Linked DNA regions of Ovis aries. The protein of the gene in region 2 interacts with the protein of the main gene of each other region in a biochemical or structural test. Links are inferred from orthologs where the notes say so. Each region holds a gene or a part of one and is shown on either strand. Other genes may lie near its edges.

Region 1 (3,650 bases), on a different chromosome or scaffold from region 2:
GGAGTCTCGGCGCTGGGGGGAGGGCCTCCAACTCCCTAGCTTTGCGCAGCTTCTCACGCTTTCGCTGGATGGCAGCAACCCGTTCACGCACTGCACGAGCCACTGGCTGGTAATCAGCTTCACACACTAAGCCCAGGGCCACCTGGAGTTGGAAGGGTGAGGAACACAGTTTGAGGTGAGATTCACCATCCCTCAACAAAGCCCCATCAGGACACCTTCTTGAGGCCTCTAGGATATACATGAAAAGGAACATATATTGATTACGCACTGTGTCCACAACTGGCATTTTTTAAAAAGCCATTTATTTACTTGACTGCGCTGGATCTTTGCTGTGGCAGGTAAGATCTTCAGTTGCAGCATGTGGAATCTAGTTCCCTGACCAGGGATCAAACCTGGACTCCCTGCATTGGGAGCATGGAGTCCTAGCCACTGGACCAGAGAAATCCAACTGGCAACTCTTTACCATATCATCATTAAATCCTTCCAGCAACCTTCTGAGATAGGTCTTATCAACTCTATTTTAGAAATAAGTAAAGTAAGTGACCAGTTCAAGGTTATACTCTAAGTCAATTGCTCTGGGGGGATGGTGGAGAAAAATATCTGTAGATATTTTTAGTTGTCACAACTTGGGGGGTGATCCCACTGGGATCCTCTAAGTTGATGCCAGGGATTCTTCTCAACAACCTACAACAGTATGGCAGAGTCTCCTGAACAATGATGTCACTAGTGTTAAAGTCAAGAACTTCTGTATGTAATGGACCAGGTCCCAATCTCAGGTCAGGTTTGAGCTGGGCTACAGAGACTGACTTCTATGTCTTATTTCAAATACATTCTTAGGTTCTTGACCCAGATCCACCAACAGATGATTCCCACATTTTCAACTGCATTTTCCCATCAAGAATATCATACTCTTTCCCTTCCCACCTCAGACCACCCCCATATCTTCTGCCTCTCATATATGCCTCTCCTGGTCCACCAGCTTCTATTCATTATCCTTATTCATTTCAATAACAAGCTTCACTGGGCAGGTAAAGGTGGGGCAGGATGAACTGACTCAAAATCTGAACAACCTGAGTCAGTTGTGCCACTTTCTTGCTTGGGACCTGGTACAAGATATTCAGCTTCTTTGAGCTTTCATTTCCTCAGCAGTAAATCAGATAAAATCACTCTATGCACGGTTGGTAACAACCATCAGATGCACATGAAAGGGCTCTAAGATGTGGGTGGTTAATAGTTCCCATCACGTGCTAAGCACTGTCAGGGGCAGAAGGGTCAATACACACAGTCTCTGCCCTCAAGCCCTTGTAGTCTTGTGGAGGAGAAAGATGGGAATGTATCCTGGTATAAAATAAGACTGATGGGGACCCGTTCAGTAATGGAGGGCCTGATGAAATGGAAAGAAGCATTTAACTCTAGAGCGGACAGGCTTTCTCAAATGCACGGTTCCGAGCATGAAGCAAGATCAAGAAAAAGATGGAGTCGGGGAAACAAGAAAGGGAAAAATAGATAACACGGAGAGAGGACAATTCGGGAAAGCCGGATCAGAAGGAAATTAAAACAGGGAGGTTGAGGGACCCAGGGCCGGAAAAGGAAATTTTTGACTTGACTTGAGGAGAACACTAGGTGTGCCCGCAGGTGCGTTAAGGAGAGGGCAGCAGGGAGACACTCGTAGGAAACTCGGAGAGGGCTTCGTTGAGCCCACCACCCAGACAACCCACCACCCAAACATCGCACCCACAAGGCACTGGCCTCTCCGGTTGAGATCCACACGCCCCTCACACGCCCAGTTACGCGGCAGGCATGCTGTCCTCCGCTCACCATCTCCTGAGCCACCTCCTCGGCCGCGTCCCGGCCCAGCTGGAACAAGAACTCGATGGCCTGGTTGTCCCGTGGGCGCCCCCCTCGCCGCGCGTCCTCCATGCGCAGCCAGAGCTTGAGGTCCGGCTTCTCTCCGTCGTCCTCCTCCGCCAACTCCACGTGGACGCCGCGCTCCTCGCGGAAGAAGGCGTGAGCCAGAAGGTCGTGGATGGTGAACCTGAGGGCGGTGCCAACCTGAGCAGAGCCCCACCGCCGCCCGCTCCCCCCGCCATTACCCCACCCCCGTCCGCCCTGCCCCCTCCACCCACCTCTCATTCTTATCCGTGCGGATGCAGCCTTCAATGATCTCCTTTACCTCGGGCATCTTCACCTTGTAGAAGCTGTTGGGTTTCGTGCCCTGGGGAATGAAGTTGCATGAGGCCTCCGGCTCTCTGTGCCCCAGCTTTCTGCTGACCTCCCCCTCCCACCCCGCCCCAGCCCGGGGCGGCAGCGCTTGCAGTTGCCAAAGCACCGGGTACACGTTTAGAAGTTGTGATTTCAAATCCCAGTCCCCCCGCCCCGACCCCACCACCCCCCCACACACACGTATCGACAGTGCGACCTTGAACCAGGCTCTCGCTGAGCCGGTGTCCTCATTTATAAAATGCAGGGCAGAACATTTGCCCTGCTCACCCCGCGGGGCAGGGAACAGGATCGGATGAGAGATTGGATTTGAATCATCGGTAATCTCTAGGGAGCGCTACACACATCGTTATTCTAAACAGCTTGAATTGGAGGGGCCGTGAGTGCATCCAGTAACCTTCAGTGTTCACCGGGGCGTCTTTGTGTCTACCTCGTTTTCATTAAGGGAAAGGGCATTGACCGCGGGGTGGCCTGGGCAGCCAAATGGAAGGGGGCCTTGTGATTCCCTCTCCTCCCTCTCACCGAGGTGACCCTGCGGTAGATTTGAGCAGCATTCTGGCACTCTGAGTAGGGGTACTCCGAGGTCGCCATCTCCAGCATGCACATGCCAAACGCGTACACGTCCACGGCCTCGTCGTACTTTTCCTCGTACATCTCTGGGGCCATGAACTCCGGGGTCCCTGCAGGATCCACAGCAGACGTCAGTACCTCCTTTCTGGCTTCGTCCCTCTCCTTGAAAGTACAAGTGGGGGTGGGGGCAACCGCGCGAATTCTGGAGTGCAAGAGACCCACCCCTTCCCGTCGTGTGTGTGTGTGTGTGTGTGTGTGTGTGTGTTTGTGTGTATGTTGGGTGGGGGGGTTGTGGGGAAGAGGACACGCTACAAGTCTCATCTTCCCCGTGGTCTTCTAACTCCGTGGGGGGGTTCTAACTCTGACCCCCTTCTAAATCTACTGGGGGAGGGAGTCCCCAGGCTCTCTCCAGACAGGGGAAGGGGAGGGAGGGTAGGAATGACAAGGATCCTCCTGGAGGGACGCACCGATGACGCTCTTGGCGAAGGAGGCGCGCTTGAGCGTGGCCAGGCCCAGGTCCCCGATCTTAACGGAGCCCGTAGGGCCGGTGATAAAGACGTTGTCACACTTGAGATCTCGGTGCAGGATAGGGGGTACTCGGGAGTGTAGGAAATGCAGCCCCCGCAGGATTTGGCGGCTCCAGCGCTGAAGGACTCGTGGTTTCATCTCACGGAACCGCCTCAGGTATCTAGGGGAGGGCGCACAGCTAGGGTCAGAGCGAGGGATACAGAGGATGGGGAGGGAGCCCACCACTGGGAGGTTCCCCGCCCCGTAGCCCCACCCACTCCCGCCCACGCATCTGCCGCTCTCTTCTCCTAGCACAGATCCGCGCCCGGCCTCAGACAGAAAGGCAGTCAGGG
Region 2 (3,650 bases):
AATAATTAGTTCAAAAAACCCCCAGAACATTCCCCAAATAGGTCTTGCTGCCTCTGCTCTAATTATGGTCATACTGAGATGACTAGGAATTCACATGTGGAAAGAGGAATGAGTCAATGGTAACTCAGATCCTCACACTACTGCTATTATATCTGAGGGAAATAATACACCCGAAAGCAAACACACACAGTTCTATCCAGTTACTCTCAGGCATGCACTATGAGAAGGAGGAGTAACTTCCAAAGAGAAATCAGCACATTCAGAGTATTCAGAAAAGAACAACAACAAAATGTCTTACTTACCGTAATCTTAGTACTAGACTGATTGGGATCTTGGTTTCTTGTGAACCTGCTCCTGAAGACAGAGCCTAAAAAGCATTGAAAGGTATAAAGTCATTGCCTGGAGTACTGAGTGTGGTGGTGACTGATGCTCGTCTAAGAGATGAATCGTCCACGTGGCAGCAATTTTCTTCATCTCCAGGTGTGGGCATCCTAGTCCCCAGGACTCCCTGCTGTGGGAGGACATGCACCCTAAGGCAGCAGCAATAGCTGAATGTCAGTCTGAGTCAAACACAATTGGAAAGATCATTGTCAAACCTACATGAAATGCCATACACAGTCACATTTCAATTTTGCGTTTTTCAGACCTCTGTTCCCCTCTTTAAGAGTGAAGAACAAGACACTGGATTTTCCCTTTAAAAAACCTGCCATTGGCCACACATCTGTAGTAAGGCCTAAACTGGCTGCTGCTCAGGAAACCACCCAACCTGGAGGTTCCAGATCTTTAATCCTCTGAAAACCATAGAGCTGTCCCTTGCTTACTGGAGGATGTACATTCTATTTAGGCTGTTTATAAAATGAATCCAATCTTTTCATCAGTTTTCATAAGATGACTATCTCCTTTCCCATATGATGGGCAGAAATGGAAAGCTTAGGCAAAGGAAAGGTTAAATGTAGTCAGGACTCTAGTCTGGAAGCACTCAGAGCAGTGGTCTCCAAAGGCAGAGTACTGCTGGGATGCAGATGAAAACATCTGACCTTCTATTTTTATTTTTTCCTACCTGAATTTTAGAAAAAACAAAATAAAAACACTGCTACTGTTTAATAAACGCGTGGACTCTGAACTGGTACTCTCGCCATGGAGCACAGGCGTATGTTGCAGACAGTACTGCGCTTTCCCAGGGGAAGAGTGGTGGCTGCACAGCAGCGGCGGGGCGCTTCTCAGGGGGCCTTCACTCCCTCAGCACTCACAGCACCTTCTGATTCAATAAGGTCATGTGTGCCTGACTGGGTGGATTCACACATCACTTTATGGCATTTTAATAAAATCAACCCCACAAAACTGACAGGTATCTTAAAAAGAGCAGCGCAGGAAAACCACGGTTTGGAGACAGTATTAACAAAGACGACAGAAGAGTTGGCAGTGCTCCTCAGTGGCAGCTGCATTCTAACCTTGAGCAGAACAAGGATATAACAAAAAGCTGACAAGACAGGGGAGCCCTTCTCATTCGGTCCACTGTCCAAGCAGCAGACACTGTTACGAGAAGGTCCCGCCGTGACAGTGTGCAAGCGTCTCGCCCAGCCTCCTGTGGCACTCCTGGAGCTCACTAGGTGGTCCCTCAGGTGTGCAAGGCCGAGCAGTGGCATATCCTGTGAGTGGCTCCCTTTGGGGGTGCGGGCAGGCATTGAGACCGGAAGACAGGAAGGAAGCTGACAAGAAATTTCAATCCCCCAAACTATTGCTGTTTGGGATATTTCCATCATTAACTTATTCTGGTGCTCAAAAAACGAACCGTGTGATCCTTGTTAAACTCTCTTATCTGCATACACGTGAAACTGTGAGAACAGAATTTCTAACTTGCTTCAGAATCTACCAGGACATCATCCTTAGTGCACAAGGCGGTGTTGCACGCCAGCCTCCGCCTTCTTCCTCCACCCAGAAGGCTGACCATGGAAGAAAGCAGGCCCTGCTGTACCTGAGCTGCTATCGCTGGCTCTGCAGTGGGTGGCAGGGAGACTTGAGTGGGTTGCGCAGCCGTCGGCCCTGCTGGCTGAGGTAGATGAGCAGAAACCTGTTCTGGAACTTGGAGTAAAGTACCCACAGGATCAGTTGTGGAAAATAGCTGTAACAAAAACACAAGCAGCGCTGTGTAAGCTTAGAGGAGAGGGAGGTGGGCCTGCTGATGGGCAAGCAGTGTAGGAGGGGCAACCTTTTCAAAGCAGTTCTTATGTATGAACTGGCCCATCTCTGCAACCTCATACACCTCTTTCAAATGGAAGTCAAATATGTCTATGCTTTTCTGTTTTTAAGAACTTTTGAGGTGTAAATTTCAGTCAGTTCAGTCACTCAGTTGTGTCCAACTCTTTGTGACCCCATGAACCACAGCATGCCAGGCCTGCCTGTCCATCACCAACTCCCGGAGTCCAACCAAACCCATGTCCATCGAGTCGGTGATGCCATCCAGCCATCTCACCCTCTGTCGTCCCCTTCTCCTCCTGCCCTCAATCTTTCCCAGCATCAGTGTCTTTTCAAATGAGTCAGCTCTCCACATGAGGTGGCCAAAGTATTGAAGTTTCAGCTTCAACATCAATCCTACCAATGAACACCCAGGACTGATCTTTAAGATGGACTGGTTGGATCTTGTTCCAGTCCAAGGGACTCTCAAGAGTCTTCTTCAACACCGCAGTTCAAAAGCATCAATTCTTCGGCGCTCAGCTTTCTTTATAGTCCAACTCTCACATCCATAAACGACCACTGGAAAAACCATAGCCTTGACTGGACGGACCTTTGTTGACAAAGTCATGTCTCTGCTTTTTAATATGCAATCTAGGTTGGTCATAACTTTTCTTCCAAGGAGTAAGCGTCTTTTCATTTCATGGCTGCAATCACCTCTGCAGTGATTTTGGAGCCCAGAAAAATAAAGTTAACCACGGTTTCCACTGTTTCCTTATCTATTTCCCATGAAGTGATGGGACTGGATGCCATGATCTTAGTTTTCTGAATGCTGAGCTGTAAGCCAACTTTTTCACTCTTCTCTTTCACTTTCATCAAGAGGCTCTTTGGTTCTTCTTCACTTTCTGCCATAAGGGTGGTGTCATCTACATATCTGAGGTTATTGAGATTTTTCCTGGCAATCTTGATTCCAGCTTCTGATTCCTCCAGCCCAGCGTTTCTCACGATGTACTCTGTATGTAAGTTAAATAAGCAGGGTGACACTATACAGCCTTGACGGACTCCTTTTCCTATTTGGAAACAGTCTGATGTTCCATGTCCAGTTCTAACTGTTGCTTCCTGACTTGCATACAGGCTTCTCAAGAGGCAGGTCAGGTGGTCTGGTATTCCCATCTCTTTCAGAATTTTCCACAGTTTATTGTGATCCACACAGTCAAAGGCTTTGGCTTAGTCAATAAAGAAGAAATAAGATATTTTTCTGCTTCCTCTGCCTTTTCTAAAACCAGCTTGAACATCTGGAAGTTCATGGTTCACGTATTGCTGAAGCCTGGCTTGGAGAAATTTATGAGTTGAGGTGTAAATTTATGTCCCACTAAATCCCCCTATTTAGGTCTACAACTCAAATGATTTTTAGAAAATTTATACTTGTATAAATATCTCTACAACCAGGTTTCAGCACTTCCATCAACTCAAAAAAT

The links. The genes of interacting proteins can lie anywhere in the genome.
Region 1: the proteins of OXSR1 (region 2) and WNK4 are reported together in a solved structure, tested with the Homo sapiens proteins (2 studies listed by BioGRID and IntAct, with this or other methods). The link is inferred for Ovis aries from reciprocal best matches to the Homo sapiens genes OXSR1 and WNK4.

The regions. Positions count from the first base shown.
Region 1 is NC_056064.1:42,548,908-42,552,557, reverse strand, and holds part of WNK4 (serine/threonine-protein kinase WNK4), read right to left. Parts: intron 3,479-3,650; coding exon 3,258-3,478; intron 2,901-3,257; coding exon 2,743-2,900; intron 2,216-2,742; coding exon 2,127-2,215; intron 2,036-2,126; coding exon 1,819-2,035; intron 143-1,818; coding exon 1-142. UniProt on the Homo sapiens protein: Serine/threonine-protein kinase component of the WNK4-SPAK/OSR1 kinase cascade, which acts as a key regulator of ion transport in the distal nephron and blood pressure.
Region 2 is NC_056072.1:11,735,290-11,738,939, reverse strand, and holds part of OXSR1 (serine/threonine-protein kinase OSR1), read right to left. Parts: intron 2,123-3,650; coding exon 1,976-2,122; intron 368-1,975; coding exon 303-367; intron 1-302. UniProt on the Homo sapiens protein: Effector serine/threonine-protein kinase component of the WNK-SPAK/OSR1 kinase cascade, which is involved in various processes, such as ion transport, response to hypertonic stress and blood pressure.